5 linked regions of the Canis lupus familiaris genome follow. The protein of the gene in region 4 binds, or shares a complex with, the protein of the main gene of each other region. Links are inferred from orthologs where the notes say so. Each region holds a gene or a part of one and is shown on either strand. Other genes may lie near its edges.

What was found. Proteins that work in one complex are often made in the same cells at the same time.
Region 1: NSMCE2 (region 4) and EID3 share a complex: the UniProt entries of both Homo sapiens proteins name them as parts of the SMC5-SMC6 complex. The link is inferred for Canis lupus familiaris from reciprocal best matches to the Homo sapiens genes NSMCE2 and EID3.
Region 2: NSMCE2 (region 4) and SMC5 share a complex: the UniProt entries of both Homo sapiens proteins name them as parts of the SMC5-SMC6 complex. The link is inferred for Canis lupus familiaris from reciprocal best matches to the Homo sapiens genes NSMCE2 and SMC5.
Region 3: NSMCE2 (region 4) and NSMCE1 share a complex: the UniProt entries of both Homo sapiens proteins name them as parts of the SMC5-SMC6 complex. The link is inferred for Canis lupus familiaris from reciprocal best matches to the Homo sapiens genes NSMCE2 and NSMCE1.
Region 5: NSMCE2 (region 4) and NSMCE4A share a complex: the UniProt entries of both Homo sapiens proteins name them as parts of the SMC5-SMC6 complex. The link is inferred for Canis lupus familiaris from reciprocal best matches to the Homo sapiens genes NSMCE2 and NSMCE4A.

The regions. Positions count from the first base shown.
Region 1 is NC_049231.1:35,011,942-35,015,309, reverse strand, and holds EID3 (EP300-interacting inhibitor of differentiation 3), read left to right. Parts: upstream 1-1,181; 5' UTR 1,182-1,298; coding exon 1,299-2,405; 3' UTR 2,406-2,868; downstream 2,869-3,368. UniProt on the Homo sapiens protein: Tissue-specific component of the SMC5-SMC6 complex, a complex involved in repair of DNA double-strand breaks by homologous recombination.
Region 2 is NC_049222.1:87,952,820-87,956,903, forward strand, and holds the start of SMC5 (structural maintenance of chromosomes protein 5), read right to left. Parts: upstream 2,801-4,084; 5' UTR 2,718-2,800; coding exon 2,521-2,717; intron 1,916-2,520; exon of another isoform or gene 1,787-1,915; intron 1-1,786. UniProt on the Homo sapiens protein: Core component of the SMC5-SMC6 complex, a complex involved in repair of DNA double-strand breaks by homologous recombination.
Region 3 is NC_049227.1:19,529,812-19,534,009, forward strand, and holds the start of NSMCE1 (non-structural maintenance of chromosomes element 1 homolog), read left to right. Parts: upstream 1-1,398; 5' UTR 1,399-1,494; coding exon 1,495-1,534; intron 1,535-4,198. UniProt on the Homo sapiens protein: RING-type zinc finger-containing E3 ubiquitin ligase that assembles with melanoma antigen protein (MAGE) to catalyze the direct transfer of ubiquitin from E2 ubiquitin-conjugating enzyme to a specific substrate.
Region 4 is NC_049234.1:23,491,666-23,495,759, reverse strand, and holds the start of NSMCE2 (E3 SUMO-protein ligase NSE2), read right to left. Parts: upstream 2,801-4,094; 5' UTR 2,646-2,800; intron 1-2,645. UniProt on the Homo sapiens protein: E3 SUMO-protein ligase component of the SMC5-SMC6 complex, a complex involved in DNA double-strand break repair by homologous recombination. Is not be required for the stability of the complex.
Region 5 is NC_049249.1:32,015,183-32,019,429, forward strand, and holds the start of NSMCE4A (non-structural maintenance of chromosomes element 4 homolog A), read right to left. Parts: upstream 2,801-4,247; 5' UTR 2,785-2,800; coding exon 2,487-2,784; intron 1,900-2,486; coding exon 1,822-1,899; intron 1-1,821. UniProt on the Homo sapiens protein: Component of the SMC5-SMC6 complex, a complex involved in DNA double-strand breaks by homologous recombination. The complex may promote sister chromatid homologous recombination by recruiting the SMC1-SMC3 cohesin complex to double-strand breaks.

The DNA of each region.
Region 1 (3,368 bases), on a different chromosome or scaffold from region 4:
CCAACAAAATATATTCTTTATTGTTACATATACTTTGCTGCTTATGAAACCATTGAGCTAAGCCTTTTCTCCCAACTGTATGTGAATTCCCAGTGAACTAGTGGGTGAGTTTTCCAAAGTAGTCACTTGATTTGCAGCATTCACTTTCATACCCTTACATCAGATTTTTTTTTTTTTTAAGATTTTATTTATTTTTATTCATGAGAGACAGAGAGAGAGAGGCAGAGACACAGGCAGAGGGAGAAGCAGGCTCCATGCAGGGGGCCTGACGCGGGACTTATCCTGGTCTCCAGGATCACGCTCTGGATCGAAGGCGGCGCTAAACCTCTGAGCCACCGGCGCTGCCCCAGATTGTGTTTAAAATCTTAATAGCTTTGCTCACCTTTCAGGGCTTAGCTTTCTCTCCACAGTCTGTGGCTTTTAGCCTTTGGTAAGCTTCCAAATAAACCACTCTTTGCAGAGACTGTACCCACTTTATTCTTCCACCCTTGGGTGGTGGAGACCCAAAGGTCACTTGGGTAATGCCTGACATTCCCCCACCTTTTGCCCCAGCGCCAGCTCAGCCACTCACTTGCCTGGCAGCTGCCTCCTCTGTTGGTTGAAAGGGGTCTGGCTTCTGAGGGCCAGTGTAGGGTAATTAACCCAATATGCAATTGTATAATGAATAAATTCCAAACCTTGCAAATGAACCCTGAGAATTCGGCCTATTTGTAGTGGACTTTCTGCAGTTCACTATGCTTAGCATTATGGGCAGTTGACAGCAAAGCCAGATTTAGTTTTTAAAAACACACAAAAAAGAAAACTCTAAAGACCCTACCATTTAATCAGAGTAAAAACGAAAACCATAGGTTGACCTAACTGCAGTATGTGACAGCAGGTATTTCAAAGCGCAGGACCTTTAGTCCCTCCCCCTCCCCCTCAGTTTTAAAATGTCGTAAGATTTTCAGGTATTTCTTTGAAAGCTAGAGGACACTGTCGGTAATTGCTAAAATGAAGCTGTCGTTTGAGCGGGTATTGTTCGCCTGCGGAGGGGGGCCCATTATTGCTCGCGTTCTACGCTGCCCGCTGCCCGCTGCCCGCTGCCTGCTGCCTGCCGCGGCGGTCGGCTGGTCGGAAACCACCGACGGGTCTGGGCTCCCGGCGCCGAGGGGCGGGGCGGGCTGGGGGCGGGGCGCGGGGCCTGGCCAGTGCGCATGGGCGGACCTCCTCTGCTCCCACCGACCCCCTTCGATTTCCGCTCTTGTCGCAAACGTCGCGAGGGCCGTTAGCGGAGTGTCAGTGAGTGCGCCGGCCCCGAAATGTCTGAGGAACAAGGCTCCCGCGCCGGAGCGGTAGAGGAAGGAGAGGCGCCCCCGGGGACCCTCGCTGCTACTGTGCACTCGGTGAAACAGGCGGACGACGGCGAGGAGCCCGTGAAAGTGGAAGTGGCTGATGGCTGCTCTGACGACCTCAGCTGTGGGGAGGCCGACATAGACCCCAGCCTCCTAGAGCTTGCGGATGACGAGGAGAAATGCCGGAAGATCCGCAAGCAGTACCGGCAGCTCATCTATAACGTCCAGCAGAACCGTGATGACATCGTGAACACTGCCAGCGACTCGTTAACCGAGGCTCTTGAAGAAGCCAATGTCCTATTTGATGGAGTGAGCCGGACAAGAGAAGCAGCTCTCGATGCCCAGTTTCTTGTTTTGGCTTCTGATTTGGGTAAAGAAAAAGCAAAGCAACTAAACTCTGATATGAGCTTTTTTAATCAAGTAGCGTTTTGTGACTTTCTGTTTATATTTGTGGGTCTGAACTGGATGGAAGATGATGAACCTGGTGAACTGAGTGGCTGTGATGATAATATAGCTCTTTCCTTCTGGGAGACAGTACAGAAGGAAGCAACATCCTGGATATTGCAAGCTGAAACATTTCACTTTATTTTCGGTTCATTCAAGTCCAAACCTTCTGCACCAAAGCCCCGACTTGAACACCACAAAAAAGCTCACAAAGTAGAAGAAAGTGGGGATATGCCTACAAAGCTGAGGAAGTTGGACCTGAGTAACAATCAAGAAGCAACAGAAAAAGAAGTAGAGAGAATCTTGGGATTGTTGCAAACGTACTTTCGAAAGTATCCTGATACTCCTGTGTCCTATTTTGAGTTTGTGATTGATCCAAACTCTTTTTCTCGTACTGTGGAGAATATATTTTATGTTTCTTTCATTATAAGGGATGGTTTTGCGAGAATAAGGCTTGACCAAGACAGGCTGCCAATATTAGAGCCGATTAATATTAACCAAGTGGATGAGGGAAATGATCCCAGTTCTCATGGCAGGAAACAAGGAGTTATATCTTTAAGTTTACAGGACTGGAAAAATATTGTGGCAACTTTTGAAATTTCAGAGGCTATGATCACAAACTCATACTAGGGATTTTTGTTCTTAGTATAGGCTGCATTATCTGGCTTTCCTAATGTACTCAAAATGGAGAGTAAAATCCAAGCAGAAGCACATACTGTATTTCATGTAGAATGAAAAAGTGTTTTCAGAAACACCAGAAATTGTTTTACTGTGCAGTGTATTTTTTTTGGTACTTTATAAGGTTGTCATGATCTTCTGTTATTAAAAAATATTCACTTGCATGTTTGCAAGATTTTTTGAATGCCCTTTAAGTCTTTATCAATAAAAATCAGTTCTGAATTTCATAAGTTAAAAGGCATTTGATAATTTACCAAAAATATCAATTTTATGATGCTCTATGATACTGCCTTGCTTCCTCCGTTAGAGGGAACAAAAAGAATCCCATATGGGGTTCCTGACAAGGTTAGGGGAAGCTGTAAAAAAAAAAAAAAAAGGAAAAAAGTTCAAGGAAGACTTTATCCTTAGGGCAGTGAATAAGCAATGTTAATGCTGCAGAAAAAACTAGATGCCAAGCTTCATTGCAAGGAGGATTCAGTATGATTAATGAGTGGATATCTATATTCTAAAGAATTTTCCTGTGATGAGACTTACCTACTGTAGAGTCATTCTACTTTTGTCAGGTGAGGCATCAAGTGTATGCTGAAAGGTGAGCAGCGATTAGTCAAAGATAGGAAGGGTATTCTAGGCAGGGGAATACAGAGGCCAAATACATGGAATTACAAGAAATAATGGCACCAGAGAGAGAATCAGGAGATTTGGTGTTCGATTTGAATGTTAAACTGAGCAAAAATTGAAATACCTTGTTATTAGTATCCTCAGAGGTAGAAGGTATTTTTTTTTTTCAAACACAAACCAGTTATAGGCTTTATCTACTTGGTTAATTTCTTCTCTAGTCTCTAATCTCCAAACCCTTGGTAATTTCTGCTAGTGCACAGAGTGACCTTCAGAATCAGTGGTGTTTCATTATGTTAC
Region 2 (4,084 bases), on a different chromosome or scaffold from region 4:
ACCATCATTCATCCCACTGCCCAAATCAGAAACCGAGACGTTAAGTTTCTCATCATCTTTGATTCTACCATCTTCTTCACCTCTGCCCCCCATCATCCGGTCACCAAGTCATGCTGGTAGACAAGCAATTCTGAGATCCCTCATTAAGAAAAAAGAAAGAAAAAGAAAAAATAGGACTCTTGCATCATCTTTTCTTACTTTCTATCTCCTTCCTTGTTCTCTAATCTGACCTCTAAATTCTACCTACCATGAACTTCTTCCTGACTATCTTACACTTATTTATTCTCCCAAGCCTTCGCACATGCTATTTTCCATCAGCAGAAATCTCTCCCTCCATTCCCAAGCCCCACTGGACTTGGGTTTGCTCCTAGGAATTCTTCTAGGAAGTACTCTTTCGGGCCACTTTGGTTCTCCAGGCCCACCCTTCCTCCCTCATTCTTAAAACTCAGCATCCTCTCATTGTGAGAATCAACAGGCTAGCTCTGCACTTTGCAGCCACCTCTTCCTTCTCCTCTTCATATCCAAGCTTTATTTCCTCACATTCATTCATTCTTCTAGGACTTGCAAAATGTTGCGCTTACCTGGCTTCAAAGGGTAAGAGAATTCCTAATTGCTGAATGCAGTGAGCTCTTTTCAGTTCCACTATCTTGTATCAGATGCCAAAGTAGCAGATGATATTTTTGAAACACTTTTCCCCCTAGGCTCCTGAGAGAATACTCTCTCCCACGATTCTCCTCTTACCTCCCTGAACAGTTCCCTTCTCCATCCAAACAACTCCTCTGCTCACTCTTACGTGTTGGCATTCCTCCAGGACACCACAGTTGGCCTTCTATTCCAATTTATATTTCCTTTTGGGCAACCTCAACTGTTTCTGAAACTTCAAGAATCACCTCTATGCATGACTTCCAAATCTCTCACCTGTTTGCATTTTCCTGACCCTAAAATTACTGCTCATGGAAGACCTTTTTTAGACACCCCCATGGGAAACTTCAAATCACAGGATCCAGAAAGTAATTATCATTATCCTCCCCAAATTGCTCCGTCTTCTGAAAAGGGCCACATCCGACCAAGAGCCAAGACAGAGACTTGAGAAAAATACTGTCTTACTCTCTTACCCTCAGGCCTCCCGATCTGTAGCCAGATCCTGCCAAATCTCTTTTCCACTACTTCCCACTGTTACTCCTAGGTTCGAAAACCAATCATGTCTTACCGTTGTAAAAGTCTTCTTTGCTTCCGATCTTGGACCCTTTCTAAATCATCTTTCACACTGCTTCCAGAGTAATATAAATCACATGCCATTCCCAGGTTGCCAACAGGATTATTGGAATTCCTCAGCATAGAGAACAAAGATCCTCAAGAGCTGCCTACCTCGTTAGTATCATCTTTGTCCACATCGTCACTCTCACTCACACCCTACGTGCTAACCATACTAGAACTTCCTAAATACAGCTGTTTCAGGCGGTTTCTTCTGAAACAGTGCTCTTCCCTTAAAACTTTCATAACCTCCTGTACAAAGCCCTTTCTCACAGTTATGAATAAAATTAACCACTTCAGCCTCTGTGCCCACACAGCACCCTGATACATACATATCTATAAATACATACACGCATTATCATGGTAGGTGACTCATTTGATTATCTTTCCTGATCTAGATTCATATAGCAATTCAGCTACTTATTGGCAGTATAACATGGGTAAATTAACCTGACATCATCTCATCAGTGAAGATGAAGAGTTGTTAGGAGAGAATCAGAGTATTATGTAAATAAAGCATCTACTTCTGTACCTGGCACATGATAGATACGGGGGCGCGGGAACCACAACGTTGGTAGTTACAATTCTGTTATCCTAAGCCCCCATGTGCAAGCTTTAAAAAAAAAAATAGTGGGGGGGGGGGGGGGAGTGGGAAGACCTTGACCAACAAAACTGTAAGGTGCTAGAGAGATACACAGTATCTGTGTTAAAAGATATTTACTAAATTCTCAAACGATTATTACGATTCTTAGTTGCCTGGAGAGAAAGAAAAGGAACGGGGCGCGGGGGGGGGGGGGGGCGGGGGAGCTGGATGCTGAGGGCTCCGGGGTCTGCTAGGAGGCCCAACAATCCAGAGCGAGGCTTATTAGTTTGCTTGTACGTTTCCACCTCCAGGAGGAACCACCTTCACCATCTTGTCCACCTGGCGACCGCTGACTCCTCCCGAGTCGGCCACAGCATCACCGCTGCTCCGATTTCACCGTGGCTTCCTCGGAGTTGCCAGCGCCCCTACTTCTGGGATTCGCACATCACGTCCTCCCTCCGTAGGCCGTGACTCCGGCCGACACAAATCCGGGCCCTACCCCGTCCGCTGCCCGCCCTGTGACGCCTTCAGAAAACGCTGGCTGAATGAATAAAAAAAAAAAAAAAAAAAAAAAAAAAGCCCACCCCGCATCGCAGCAGACGCACGCCGACCGCCCGCGGGCCCGCTCGCCTCCCCGCCGCGCCCCGCCCCGCCCCGCGGCGCCGCGGCCTCCGGACACTCACAAGAAGTTCTCCATCACGATGCGGACGATAGAGCCCTCCACGAAAGGCCTGGACGATGGCAGCGGCGGCGGCGGCGGCGGCGCCGGCGGGGCCGAGCTCTTCCTCTTGCTCGGGACCTCCGACGAGGGATCCCTCGGGAGAGCTCTCTTGGAGGCCACGGTGCCTGGGGCCGACGACTTCCTACTCGGAGTCGCCATCCCGGCGTCCCCGCCGCCCCGCGGGCGCTTCCGTTCCCACCGACCTGCGGCCCCGGCGCCCCGGCGCCCGGCTCCCGCGCGAACTGCCCGGCCCGCGAGCCCGCCCCGCGCCTGCGCAGTCCGGCCCGGCGGCGTCAGCGGGCGGCCCCGCCCCTCGGCGCCGGGCCTCGGGGGCGGGCGGCAGCGAGGACGCGGGCCGGGGCGGCGGCCCCCCCAGCGCGCGGCTACCCGGCCGTGCCCCCGAAGCGCTCGTGCATCTTTCACGGTTCGGGCTTTTTGGCTCAGAAAAAGATGTCAGTTGCATTTAGTACTCGGAAAGCCCTCTGAGCGCTCGGAGGAAGCCGGCCCGCGAAGAGGACGGAGGGAGACGTTCGGCGGCCGCGGGCGGACCCTGCCCGCGCGCACCCGGACTCGCCTGCTTCGGGCTCTTCCGCGTCTCACCCTGCTCCCCGCTGGGCCTCATGCAGGTCCCCGTGTCCAAAAAAGAAAACTCCAGCGGTGGCCCTGCGCCCGCGTCTCCCCTGAGCCGCGTGGTGCCAGGTACCCGGGGCGCTCCAACTTGCAAACGGCCTCCCTGCAAGCAGACACTCCGCCCCCTCGCTCCCTCCTTCCCTTTTAAGGCTTCCTGCCCCGAGGTTTCTAGAAACCCAGGAGCTCGAGCGCAGCGGCTTCAGTGGGTCGCGCTTCCACTTAAACCTGCGCACCTGCCGCTGGTTAACCTCGTTGAACGGGAGGCGCACCGAAGCTGCCGCAGCGCCTCGACCACTCAGCGTCTCGCTAATGTCTAACCCGCCAGAGGCCGGAGCTGCGGCTCTGAGGGACCCCAGCCAGGGATGCCTGCCTGCGCCCCTGCCCGGTGTGGGAGACAGAAAAAGAACCAGTGGAGCAGGTTCAGGATCATTCCAGGCTGTGCTAGGTGCTGTGAAACAGAACTCAGGTGATGGGGGGAGGCACAGAAGGTTGTCAGAAGAGGTGGTGTTTGAGTGGAACCCTAAATGCTAACAAAAAAAAAAAAAAAAAAGTATTCCAGGCAAGGACAAAAGCTCTGGAGTGGGAACAGGGGGACTTCTGAGGAACAAAGGGAAGGCCTGTGTGGCTGCGGTGAGTGATCACCTGACCATTGCACCTGACCAGAGCCTTGCCCACCATAGCTGAGCTGATTTTTATTTTTAAGGCTTTGGGAAGCCCATTGGATGGTTGTAAGCAAGAGAGAGACGTGATCTGATTCAAGTTTTTAAATAATCCCTCATTACTGTTTGGAGAGGGTCAAGCCTGGAACCGGGGAAGCCGTTTGAAAAACAGGTGCAGTAGAACCCTCATTCCTGACTCGAGGACCAGTGCTCCTTCCCCAGGTGCCTGGCGCTTCC
Region 3 (4,198 bases), on a different chromosome or scaffold from region 4:
ATTCAAAATTCTACAAAACTATGCAGGACAAACAAAACATAGATGGTCTCCTCAGAGCTCTTCTTCTCTCTGACTGCCCCCAAGGCATTTTATAAAGTTCTTTATCAGTAAAGATAACTCACACTTACTGAGGCCTCACTATGTGCCAGGTACTTTTAAGTGCTTTGCATATATTAACTAATTTAATCTTACAGCAATCCTATCAACGGTGTGCTATTATGATCCCTGCTCTATGGATGAGCAAACTGAGGTGGAGAGCTTCAGTATTTTGTCCTGGGTCTCAGATATATTGAGTTTAAGAGGCAGCATCCGAATCCAGATGGTCCAGCTCCCAAGCTTAAGCTCTTTACCACACCAGGGCACCTGGGTGGCTCAGTGGTTGAGCCACCACTTCCGCTCAGGTCATGATCCCAGGGTCCTGGGATCGAGTCACACATCAGGGTCCCTGCAGGGAGCCTGCTTCTCCCTCTGCCTGTGTCTCTGTCTCTCTCTCTGTGTCTCTCATGAATAAATAAATAAAATCTTCATTAAAAAAATAAAAACTATCAGAGGCTACTGCTTTCCTCACTCAGCAGACAGGTAAACTGAGGTCCAGAGAAGTTGAGAAGTTGCTGCCCAAGATCACAGGTGTGCAACGGGCAAGTAAGTAGGGATTTGAAGCTATCATCACAGAGCTAGATGCTTGCACTTTCTGCTTGTTTCCCTGCTCGGCTGCATCCGGCTCCAGCTCCCAGGTCAGGCACTGGGATGCAAGCGTTTGTAAAACGAGTGCTCTCCAATAGCCCATTCACAACTTCATTGGCTTCTCCCAACAATCCCTAGGTAAGACGAGTAGCTGACAGCTAATCAGCACTTCCAGCGTGCGTCATTTCCTTGAAACCCCACGAACACCCTATTATTCCATGGCGACTCTGATCAGCCCCATGTACCAGAAGAAGAAACTGAGGCTGGGCGCAGCAGCTCAGTGACTTGCTCAAGATCTGGCAGAGCCAGGATTCCAGCTCAAGTTGCAGGACGGCGGAGCCCTCGCGGCCGACCCCGAGGCCACGGCGTCGTTTGCACGGATGGGGAAACTGAGGCCCAGGATGGGGCACTGGCTTGTGTCCGCGGAAACCGCGGCTGCTGGGGAGAAGGTCCCGTTGCAGGCGTGCCCCTTCCTCCTCCTAGGTCGCAGGCTGCAGTGGCGGGGCTGGAGGCAGAAGGTGGCCCGCCCGCGGCCCCGCCCGGTGAGGTCCGGAGAGTGGCGGGAGACGCGCGGAAGTCGCCGCCTACCCCCCCGGCTCCTCGGCGCCACGGCAACGGCGAGCAGGAAGTGCGTCACCCGGTGGGCGGGACGAGCGTGCGGCTGCCGCCAATAGGAGAGCCGCGCCCGCGCTGGCCCCGCCCCGGAGGGGGCGTGCCAAGCCCGCCTTTCGGCGTCGGCGGCGGGCGGCGGGGGCTGCGCCCGGGTGCGGCGGAGGGTGAGCCGCGCGCGCGCCCGCGAGGCTGTCGGGGATGGAAGAGGGCCGCGCAGAGAGGCGACGGAGGACGGAAGGTGGGCGTCAGGCCCCGGGGCGGCCCGCGTGGGTGCCGGAGCGCGGCTCCGGGGGCCCCGGGGGCTCCTCGTTGGCTGATGCCGACAGGCCCAGAGACGGGCAGGAAGGCCGGCGGGCTGGGACCTGGTGCCCCCGGCGCCCCCCGGCGCCCCCCGACGCCCCCCGACGCCCCCCGACGCCGGCGGGTCGTAGCGTTGGGTGCTGACCTCGGTTTGACCCCGCTCTTGGGGGACGGAAGCAAAAGACGGATGCCTGCACCGAATACGGAAAATACGGCCTTGGAGGAGCACCTGGCGGTTACCTGCGCCCTGCTCTCGGTCGCGGTCCTGGGACCCGTAGAGAGCCCCGAGGCTAGACGTGTGCAGATGCCCCGGTGTTTCGGATTTTTCCAAAGGGATATGATATATTCCTATTCCCCATGGTCTTTGGGGTCCGGGCTGCATCTTGTCACCACATACATGAATCCGTGCACATTTGCCCCCAAAGGAGGTCAAGAATGGCCCAGAGATAGCCTCACCTTATAGGTCAGATCAGGTCTTCAGGCTTCCAAGGTTGGAGGCCTTTAGATCTTCCTTAGATCGGAGAATTGTAGGTGAGGAGTCCCTGCAGGTGAGGGATCTCGATTTGCTTGTTCCCTGCTATGCCTCGCTTACCTGGGGTGTGTGTGTGTGTGTGTGTGTGTGTGGCGGTGGCGGTGCTAGGGTTCCTGAACTCTGCTTTTGCATCGCCACCCTCCTGCCCATCACTGACTCCGTGCATCTCCTGGTGCCTCCAGTCTTGCCGCATCTGTAAAATGGGGGCATGGATGTGACGATCCTCAGGTTCCCAGGAGGATGGAATGAGAGCGCAGTGAAGCACTCCCCCCTCTGCCTCGCGTGTGGCTCACGTGGTGGTGCTTGAGATCTGCTTATTGCACAGACATTTCTGTTTTTAAATTTTTTTTTTTTTTGGAGGGGTAGGCAGTTCATGGTTAATCTCTACCACCCAGTCCATCTTCAGACAATCGCCTTCTGTGTGTAAACAGGCCTATCTGTACTGTGTCCCTCTCCTTTTTTTTTTTTTTTTTCCCCAAGATTATTGACTTCTGTGCTGTTCCAGAGTTGGTCCTCCCCACTGCCAAGATTTTTAATTTATTTATTCAGGAGAGACACAGATAGAAAGAGAGGCAGAGGGCAGCCCCGATGGCTCAGCGGTTTAGCACGGCCTTTGGCCCAGGGCGTGATCCTGGAGACCTCAGATCGAGTCCCACATCGAGCTCCTTGCATGGAGCCTGCTTCTCCCTCTGCTTGTATCTCTGCCTCTCTCTCTCTCTATGTCTCTCATGCATAAATAAATAAAATCTTAAAGAAAGAGGCAGAGACACAGGCAGAGGGAGAAGCAGGCTTCCCAAGGGGACCCTGATGCAGGACTCGATCCTGGGACCCCACGATCACACCCTGAGCCAAAGGCAGACACACTCAACCAGTGAGCTACCCAGGCGTCCCTAGAGTTGGTCCTTTTTAGCATTTATTTTGGGTGTTACGTAACATATTTACATCATTTCTTCTTTTTTTAATCAAGATATGTAACATACCTATAAAAATGTTTGCAAATGTAAGTTCGAAGAATAAAAATAAGGAACACACGTATACTCCCCATCAGGTTAAGAAATAGAACATTATCTTATGCTGAAAGCTCCCGCTGAATCCTTTCTTCCCCTCACTAAAGATGAGCACTGCCCGGAGTACTGTTACTCATTCCCTTGTTTTTCCTTTATGGGTTTTACTATGTATCTGTAAAATGACTACTGTATATGGTTTCGTTAGGTTTTGAATTTGATGGAGAATCCTCACATATAATTAGTGTGACTTTACTTTTGCACATAACATTCCCGTATGTGAGATGCATCCACGGTGATTTGAGTAGCTCTATGTCACCTTCATTGCTTCGTCGCTATTTGGAATTCCATGGTTTGAATATAAATGCTTTGCTAGGCATTTTTCAACTGGTTGCCATTGCTACTGTTGCCAGATTTTTGCTACCACATGGTGCTTTTATACACATATTTCCTTGGGCAGATGTGGGTAGTTTCTGTAAGTGAAAAATCAAATACCGCATTTCTGGGCATACCCAAATTCGCCAGTAAAATCAAATTGTCTGACACGGTTCATAAGAGTTTACACTCCACCAGCAGTGGATGAGTTTTAGCCCAGGCCATTCTTCAGAATCTTTGCCTTATCTGGTGATGAGTAAGAGATTTGTCACTGTAGTTTGGATACTCGTTAGCCTGATGACCTCAAGACTGTGTATCTTTTAATATATTTATTAATCATTTGTATATCTTCTTTGGAAATTTCAGTTGCTTATTTTTTTTTTTTTGCAGTTGTCTTCCTCTAACTGATTTGTAGGAGTTCATTACATATTCTGAGTATGAATCTTTCATGGGTTCAGCATGTTTCAGATGCTTCCCAGTTTGTAGCTTGTCTTCTCTCTCTCTCTCTCCTTCCCCCCCGCTCAAGTATTTTCAGTGAACAGAGGTTCTTAATTTTAAAAGTTGAATTTACCTGTATATTCCTTTATGGTTTGTACTTTTTGCGTTATTATTATTATTATATCTTTTAAAGAAACCCCTGCCTTTGGCTTATAAAAGCTATCTGCCTATATTGTTGTCCAAAAGTTTTGTA
Region 4 (4,094 bases):
CTTGCCTGATCTTAGGAGTCAGTTGAAATGCTTATTGAAAATATAGATGTATATGTAAGTGCTATCTCAGACCTACTAACCCGAGTCCCTAGTGGACACTCCGGGGAAACCTGTATTTTTATGAATCGCTGCAGAGGATTCTCAGAATCAAACAAGTATGGAGAACACTGAGATAACTGCATCTCCTCCCAAAATCATTGTTGAGAGCCTAACCCCCATTGTGTGGTACTTGGACCCGAGATCTTTGGGAGATAATTAGGTTTAGATGTCCTGAAGGTAGAGCCTAATTTCAGGAAGGAATTAATGTCCTTATTAGAAGAGGAAGAGACACCTGAGCTCGCTCTCTCCACCCAATAAGGACATAGTAAGAAGGGGGCTGATGAGAGCGAAAAAGAGGCCTCTTACCAGTACCCAGCCATGCCGGCACCCTAATCTCTTGACTTCTGGTCTCCAAAACTGAAAATAAATTTCTGTTCTTTAAGCCACCCGTCTATGCTATTTTTTAATAGCACCTGGAATGGACAAAACACACAACGTATATAAGGAATAATACAATACAGGATAAGTGATGAGTGTCTCCCACATAGTAGCTATCCTTATTATGTGCATGCAAAATTCACATTACTCTAATGAAACTCTACGCTTGCAGAGAGCCGAGGGAAACTTCCTTCTGTAATTCTGGAGTATTTTCAGGAAAAAGATTTGGATTGAGAAGCAAAGAGAATGGATGGAGTAGACACACTCTTCTCTCTCTCTCTCCCGCTAAGAACAGCTAAGTACATAATTCACAGGACAACCCCACCCCCCTAAAGAATCATCTGGCCCAAAATGTCCATCATGAAACCTTGGTTTAAATCAACCTCCTCTTGAAGCCTTCCCTAGTAACAATAATCTCTTTGTTCCCTGTACCTACAGTTTCCAAGAAAGATTAAAGCAAGGTTTCCTGGCAACCCAGGTGGCCCAGCGGTTTAGCACCTGCCTTCAGCCCAGGGCACGATCCTAGAGACCCGGGATCGAGTCTCACATCAGGCTCCTTGCATGGAGCCTGCTTCTCCCTCTGCCTATGTCTCTGCCTCTCTCTGTGTCTCTCATAACTAAATAAAAATCATATATATATATATATATATATATATATATATATATATATATATATTTCCTGAGTTTTTCCCACGCATGTTATTTTCCCTTCCCATACCGAGCCTTGTCTTAGGCCATTCAGGCTGCTGCAACAAAATACCAGATTGGGTAGCTTACAAACAACAGAAATTGATGCCTGGAGTTCTGGAGGCTGGGAAGTCCAAGGTCAAGGTGCCAGCAGGGTCCCATTCCGGTGAAGGCCCTCTACCTCGTTCAGAGCCCCCAAGCCCTCTCACCCTTTGTCATCACAAGGTAGAAGGTGCAAGGGAGGGAGCTCTCAGGAGCCTTTTACAAAGGCACTAATTCCATTCATGAGGGCTCCACCCTCATCACCTAAGCACCTCTCAAAGGCCCCACTTCCTAATACTATATCACAACGGCATTAGGATTTCAACATATGAAGGGGCGGGGGGGGGGGCGCAGAAAAACATAAATATTCAGACCACAGCAAGTCTGATTCACTTCAGGCAGGGTCACTTATCAGCTGACTTGAAAATATTGTTTCCCCCGTCTCCTCTCTCCTTACAGCAGGGTGGTAGACCCAGAGCTAACAATTTATAGACACTCTGCCAAACGTCCTTCAAACCACGGGGCCTATGCAAGTCCAGCCAGAGCTACAGCTCCTTTTTCAAGATGCAAGGGTACGTCTTTCCTTATGAAACCGTCTCTTACCTATACGAGCAATTGCTCGTTCCCTCCCTCATGCTACTACTATGCCCCCTCTCCCTCACACACACACTTCTTCGTAAAACTCATCACAGCTATTTGTTCACCCGGCAGCCACTCCTTCACCCCGGGAGCAGCTTAAACCACAACCCTGACACGTTCTGCTAGCACATAAGACAGCTCCTCGTACGAAAGAGGCGATCAAAGAACGGAGGAGAGTGACGACAGGAACAGCAACCGCCCTTTCTTGGTTTTTTTTCTTTTTTTTTTTTTTTAAGATTCTACTTCTTTATTCATGAGAGACACAGCGAGAGAGGCAGAGACCCAGGCAGAGGGAGAAGCGGGTCCCACGCAGGGGGCCCGACCTGGGACTCGACCCCGGGTCTCCAGGATCACACCCTGGGCTGCAGGCGGCGCTAAACCGCTGGGCCCCCCGGGGATCCCCAGCAACCACCCTTTCGAGGCCCCCCACAGTGCGCCACAAACTGATGCCCTTGGCGCTACTTTCTCAGGACCGCTGATGCTCACAACCAATTATAGAAAAGGAAACTGAGGCCCAGGGAGCTCATTTAGACCTCCCGTCCGAGGCCCTGCTTTTAAAGACAGCTCAAAGCACACGAATCTGCAGCAGGAACCGTGAACTTTTCCCCCACTCGGGTGGGAGGATGGAGAGACGGCGCCTCGGGGAGGGGGCAGCCTGCCCAAGCCTCCGTGCTCGGCGTGCAGTGCCAGGACCACAGCCCGGGCGGACAGACCCCAGCTCAGGGCACCCGCGGGGCGCCCCACGGGGAGGCGACACCTGTCGCCACCCTCGCCCTCGCCACCCCCCGCTTCCGCCTTACCTGGAGGCGCGCCCCGGCTCGGTCTGGCAGCACCCGGACCGCCCACGCCCGGACCCCAACTCCTTCCTCAACTCCCTTCCCCAGTCGCTGAAACCGCGAGCGCGGGCTCGAGCGTCATCAGCCGTCGCCGGCCAGCGGTCACATGACGCCCCGCCCTGCTCCCGCCCCCTCTGGTCATGTGACTGCCACGGGCGCCACAGGCGGAAGCCGGGGTCCCGCCGGCTGGCGATCGGGGGCTGCGGCCGGAGGGGTCGTCGTGCGGGGAGGGGAGGCCGGGCACCCGCGTGCCGACCCCGCCCGCGCTCGCCGGCCCCGCACGTGCGCCCTGGCGCGGCCGGGGTGACAGGTGAGTGAGGGCGGGATGCGCTCTCCGGGGCCCCGGCCCCGCGCAGGGCCGCGCGGGCGGAAGGTGCGGCGTGGACGGGGAGTCGGGCTTGGAGGGCTGAGGGCCTGCCTGGGGCGGCGCTGCAGCCGCAGCTCTCCCACCTCCTCTCGGGGCCGTGGTTCTCCCCGCCGCGGACACTCAGCTGTTGGCCCGCCTCTGACCCCTCCAAGTTTCCAGGAGCCGCGCCGGGCGGGCGGCGTTAATCCTCCCCCTGCTCTCGAGAACACGGGGTGCTCGGCGAGGGCTTTGAGAGTCTGCTAGACCCGGGTTTGAATTCTAGCTCCGCCGTGGGTTCCGAACTTGAGCCAGTCATTGCTCCTCTCTGCACCCAAGTTCCCTCACCTGCGGCACGCCGGTGCCGAAGTTCTTTGCATTTTGGAAAATAGTTCCGAGGGTCCCGACAGGTTTGTGGCGCACGGTTGAAAACATAAATCAAGTCACGGTGCCGGTAATGGAGCCGGATTCCAAGTGCACGGAGTTTCCTCCAACAGAGATACTTGGGGTCGTGACAAGGGAGGGAGAGGTCTTCCTGCTTCTGCGCATAACCAGGAACGCCTCCCGTTTTTCGTTCTCCCGTCTTCCAGGATTTATGAATGGGGCTAGAGAGATCAGGCCCATTTCCGAACTTGCCTGGAAGAGATTTGTCACTTTTATTTTGATCAACAACCATTCTGTTTTGTTCCCGGTCATGGATAGGTGGAGCCCAGTGCTTCCTTCTTTATGGAACCGAGGTTTTATGAAAGGATTAAAAAAAAAAAAAAAGACTTCTTTTGTCCTCTGAGTAGGGCACACAGGTTTGTGTGGTTTGTCCCAGGACAATTTAATTTCCTTCAGAATTCAGTTCTGTACCTGTTGGGTAATTGGTATGATGGTGATGCCATGCTGCGTTCTTGAAACACGTTGTTGTCTTTTGTCTGGGGCTACCTTCCAAACTGAAAACCACAGTTCCATGCCAAAATTCTTAAAAATAAGTTAACAGCTGCTTTTTGGGGTGCCTTGTAAAGGAAGAGTAGGAAATCGAGTGGGATCTCTGGTTTCATTTCATGCCAGATAGTAATACAGCC
Region 5 (4,247 bases), on a different chromosome or scaffold from region 4:
GATGGGCCAGCGAGAGTAAAGTGCTCTGGAAACACCTGGAAAGGGAGCCAATTAGAGGGGAAAGCGGCAAAGCTCAAATACAGAAACATCTGTGCCTGGCTGGCTCCTGGGGGCCTTTTCATTTGGGTCCCCCACTTTCCGAACACACCTTGGGCTGCTGAACTTGCTGACTCCGGGTTTTGTTGACATACATCATTTTTCTCCCATTTTATTTCAGGAGCACTGCTATGGAAGTGACCATGGGTGAGAGAGGGCAGCAGACAGAGGCTGGCAGCTCGTTCCTGGGCTCCCCGTGGCCTTGCCCACTGGCCTCGCAGCTCCGCCCAGAAAACACAGACTTCCCAGTCACAGGTGGCTGGGAGGCCTCCACTGAGTTAAAACAATGAATGCCAAGGATCTAGAATTCTGTGTTTGCTGGGAGACTCCCAGAGCCCGGCTGAGTAACTCTGCCTGAAAGAGGTGACCCACGCAGCACAGCAGAATCAGCCAAGGGGAGGCGGTGTGTGGCTCAAGAACTAGTAAGATGCACAGTAAATCAGCAAAGGAGTGAAGGAGTCAAGAGGAACCTTGAGGAGACTGACCCGGGGACCAGGAGTGGAGAGAAGATAAAGCTAAGGACGGTAGAGGAGGGATTTAACCTGGTGGAAGGGAAATGCCCACTTCTGGAAGTGAGATTTAGCAAGCCTGGGAGACCCAGCTGGGGAGTAGTCAGGAGGCTGTGACCAGAACTAGAAAGACACTCATCTGAGAACGTGCAGACAGAAAAACATTAAAAGGTGGGCAACAGGTAAGCCATTAAGTCATACTAGGACATTACTAGAAATAAGGACCCTGGTCCCAGGAACGCGAAGAATTGTGGTGTCGGCAGTGCACGTTCTGCGGACTCTTCCTCGCTGCCCCTTCGTCTGTATTCTGTCTTTCTGCTGCCACAGAACGTCCAGGCCTGGAAAAGGGGTCCAGGGACTTGCCCTAGGGCTCTGGGACCCACTGCTCACATCAGGGGGGACCTGACCTGTCCTGTCATCAAATAGACTGCTGGCGTCCCAAACACTTTTAATTCAAACCAAGATTGTTTCTTCTTGAGATTTTGAGAGAGAGAGAGAGCAAGAGAGAGCATGCATGAGCAGGGGGAGGGACAGAGGGAGAAGCAGACCCCTCTGAGCAGGGAGCCTGATGTGGGACTCGAGGACAGGACCCTGGGATCATGACCTGAGCCAAAAGCAGATGCTTAACTGATGAGCCACGCAGGTGCCCCTCAAACCAAGATTTTTTTTTTTTTTTTAACTTCCCCTTCCCCATGGTCTGGAGCTCAGTGCTCTGAGATTTCTCTTTCTTGCCCCAGTAGAAACCCACAGGTCCACTAGTAGACTCCTGCCCCCGGCCCCCCTTATAGGTGGGCCTGTACTGGGAAGAGGATGGGAAAGGAAACAGGATGTGGGAGGGAGGGGGCAGCTTTTTTCTTTGCTTCTCCTATTCAACAAATGTATCCCGGGGATACAGCAGGGGATGCGACAGAAAGATAAACATGCAAAGCTCTCAACCTTGAGGATGCAACAGGATCACCTGGGGGGCTTGCTGAAACAGGCTGCTGGCTGTACCCCCCGGAATTTCTCCTAACGCCTTCGGGAGACGCCTCAGGGGATGGCCAAGGGCAATGAAGACAGTATTAGCGCTACAATGAGAAAGCTCCCAACGCTAGTAAGGCACTACTCTATTATGGGAGAAATGTCCGGTGTCAATAACTTGGCTGTCATATAAAACTAACTAAAATCATCCTAAAACTTATAATAAAGAGCTCCCATATATGAAGTGACGAATTACCTCCATTAAACAGAGTGTTGGCCTCTTCAAGGACCTCTGTTAATTTGTCGCTGGCATTCAGTATATCCTCCCGGTTTTCTATGCAAAAAAAAAAAAACAAAAAACCAAACAAACAAAAAACAAGGTTTGGGGAAACGTGCTCATCACGCGCGAACAGGTCCTTGCCGGCGTGATCACCTGCAGCAGCGCGGCCAAGCCCGGGTCCCCGGGTCCCCGGCGGGGCGGGGTGGCGGGGCGGGGTCCACTTCCCAGCGCGGCACATCCTTCGAGCCCGGGGTGGGGGGGGGGGGGGGGGCTGGCCGTACCTCTAAGCCGCAGCAACCTCAGAGGAGCCCGGCCGCCTATCGCCTTCACCCCAGGGGCTCCCGGGCTCGTGCAGCCGCGGAGGGGCGCTCCTAACGGCGGCTCCCAAACTTTGCGAGCCCGGAGGCCCCGAGAGGGCGGGCGGGGCGGCCCCGGGTTTCGGAGTGGGCGGGTGCGGTGCGGTGCGGTGCGGCCCGAGCGCCGGCGTTTCCGACAGTCCCCGTCCCCCGTCCCCGTCCCCCACCCCGCCCAGGTCGCGCAGCCCGCCGCCCGCCACCGCACGGGGCCACCCCGCGAGCCGACCGAGCGCGGCCGGGCCTGCCTCCGTCCCCGCCTGCCCGCCCGCCCGCGCCCCGCCTTACGTTGGACCGAGTTGATGAGCGCCCGGTACTGATGGCGGATCTGGCGGCACAGGCCGTGGTCGGTCTCCGCCTCCAGGCTCGCGGGGTCCACCATCTCGTCCCCGGAATCCGACGGCTCCGTGTCCTCCAGGCTCGGGCGCTCCGGGGCCTCCCTGCGCTCGGGCGCGGCGCCGCGGCGGGACACGGGCGACAGCGGGGACCGCGAGCGGGAGCGGGAGCGGGTGCGGTCCCGGTGCGGGTCGCGGCCCCGGCCCCGGCCCTGGCCCTCGGGCCGGCGGCCGCTGCTGTCCCCGGACATCGCGCCGATGCGCCGAGCAACTTCGGAGCGGCGGAAGTTCGCGCCAGAAACTGAAAGCCCGGCTCGGCGCGAGCGCCCGCTCCCCGCGGAACGCGGCTCCCGGGCCGGCGCCAGCGCACAGCGACGCCTCTGGCGGGAGGCCGGCGGGGGCGCCCTGCGGGAGGGGCAGCCGGGGGGGGGGGGGGAAGGGGGGGGACACCGCCCCGGGCCTGCGTCTCCCCGGGGTGTCCTGGGCTCCCCGGCCCCCCCCCACACCAGACCTGCGTCTCCCCGGGGTGTCCTGGGCTCCCCGGCCCCCCCCCCACACCAGACCTGCATCTCCCCGGGGTGTCCTGGGCTCCCCGGCCCCCCCCACACCAGGCCTGCGTCTCCCCGGGGTGTCCTGCGCTCCCCGCCCCCCCACACACACCAGACCTGCGTCTTCCCGGGGTGTCCTGGGCTCCCCGGGACCCCCCCACACCAGGCCTGCGTCTTCCCGGGGTGTCCTGGGCTCCCCGGGACCCCCCCACACCAGGCCTGCGTCTCCCCGGGGTGTCCTGGGCTCCCCGCCCCCCCCCCACCGGGCCTGCGTCTCCCCGGGGTGTCCTGGGCTCCCCGAGACCCCCCCCACAAGGCCTGCGTCTCCCCGGGGTGTCCTGGGCCCCCCCCCCGCCCCGGGCCTGCGTCTCCCCGGGGTGTCCTGGGCTCCCCGAGACCCCCCCACAAGGCCTGCGTCTCCCCGGGGTGTCCTGGGCCCCCCCCCCGCCCCGGGCCTGCGTCTCCCCGGGGTGTCCTGGGCTCCCCGAGACCCCCCCACAAGGCCTGCGTCTCCCCGGGGTGTCCTGGGCTCCCCCCCCGCCCCGGGCCTGCGTCTCCCCGGGGTGTCCTGGGCTCCCCGAGACCCCCCCACAAGGCCTGCGTCTCCCCGGGGTGTCCTGGGCTCCCCCCCCGCCCCGGGCCTGCGTCTCCCCGGGGTGTCCTGGACTCCCCGTCCCCCCCCACACACCAGACCTGCGTCTTCCCCGGGGTGTCCTGGACTCCCCGCCCCGCACCAGGCCTGCGTCTCCCCGGGGTGTCCTGGGCTCCCCGGCCCCCCCTCCCCCCCGCACCGGGCCTCGTCTTCCCGGGGCGTCTAGGCTCCCTGGGACCCACCCCACCCCACCCCGCACCCCAGCGACGCACGCAGTGAGCGCGTGTGTTGGCGGAGCAGGAGGGGCGCCGGGCTCCAGACAGGCGGTGTGGCTCTGGGGCCTCCCCCGGGGGAGCAGGCGGTCCCACTCCAGGTGAAGACAGAAAACAAAAGCACGAATTAACGGCAAAAACCGTCTTTCCCCCTAGTGAACTGTCCCTTCTGAAGAGCTGCACCAAGGCAGCTTGTGCTGACAATCGGTCCTCAAACTAAAATATTCTAAATTTTCTCCCAAAGACTCTGAGACAGGTGGGATTTTATGTTCAGGAAATGTATGCATTCCATTCTACATATT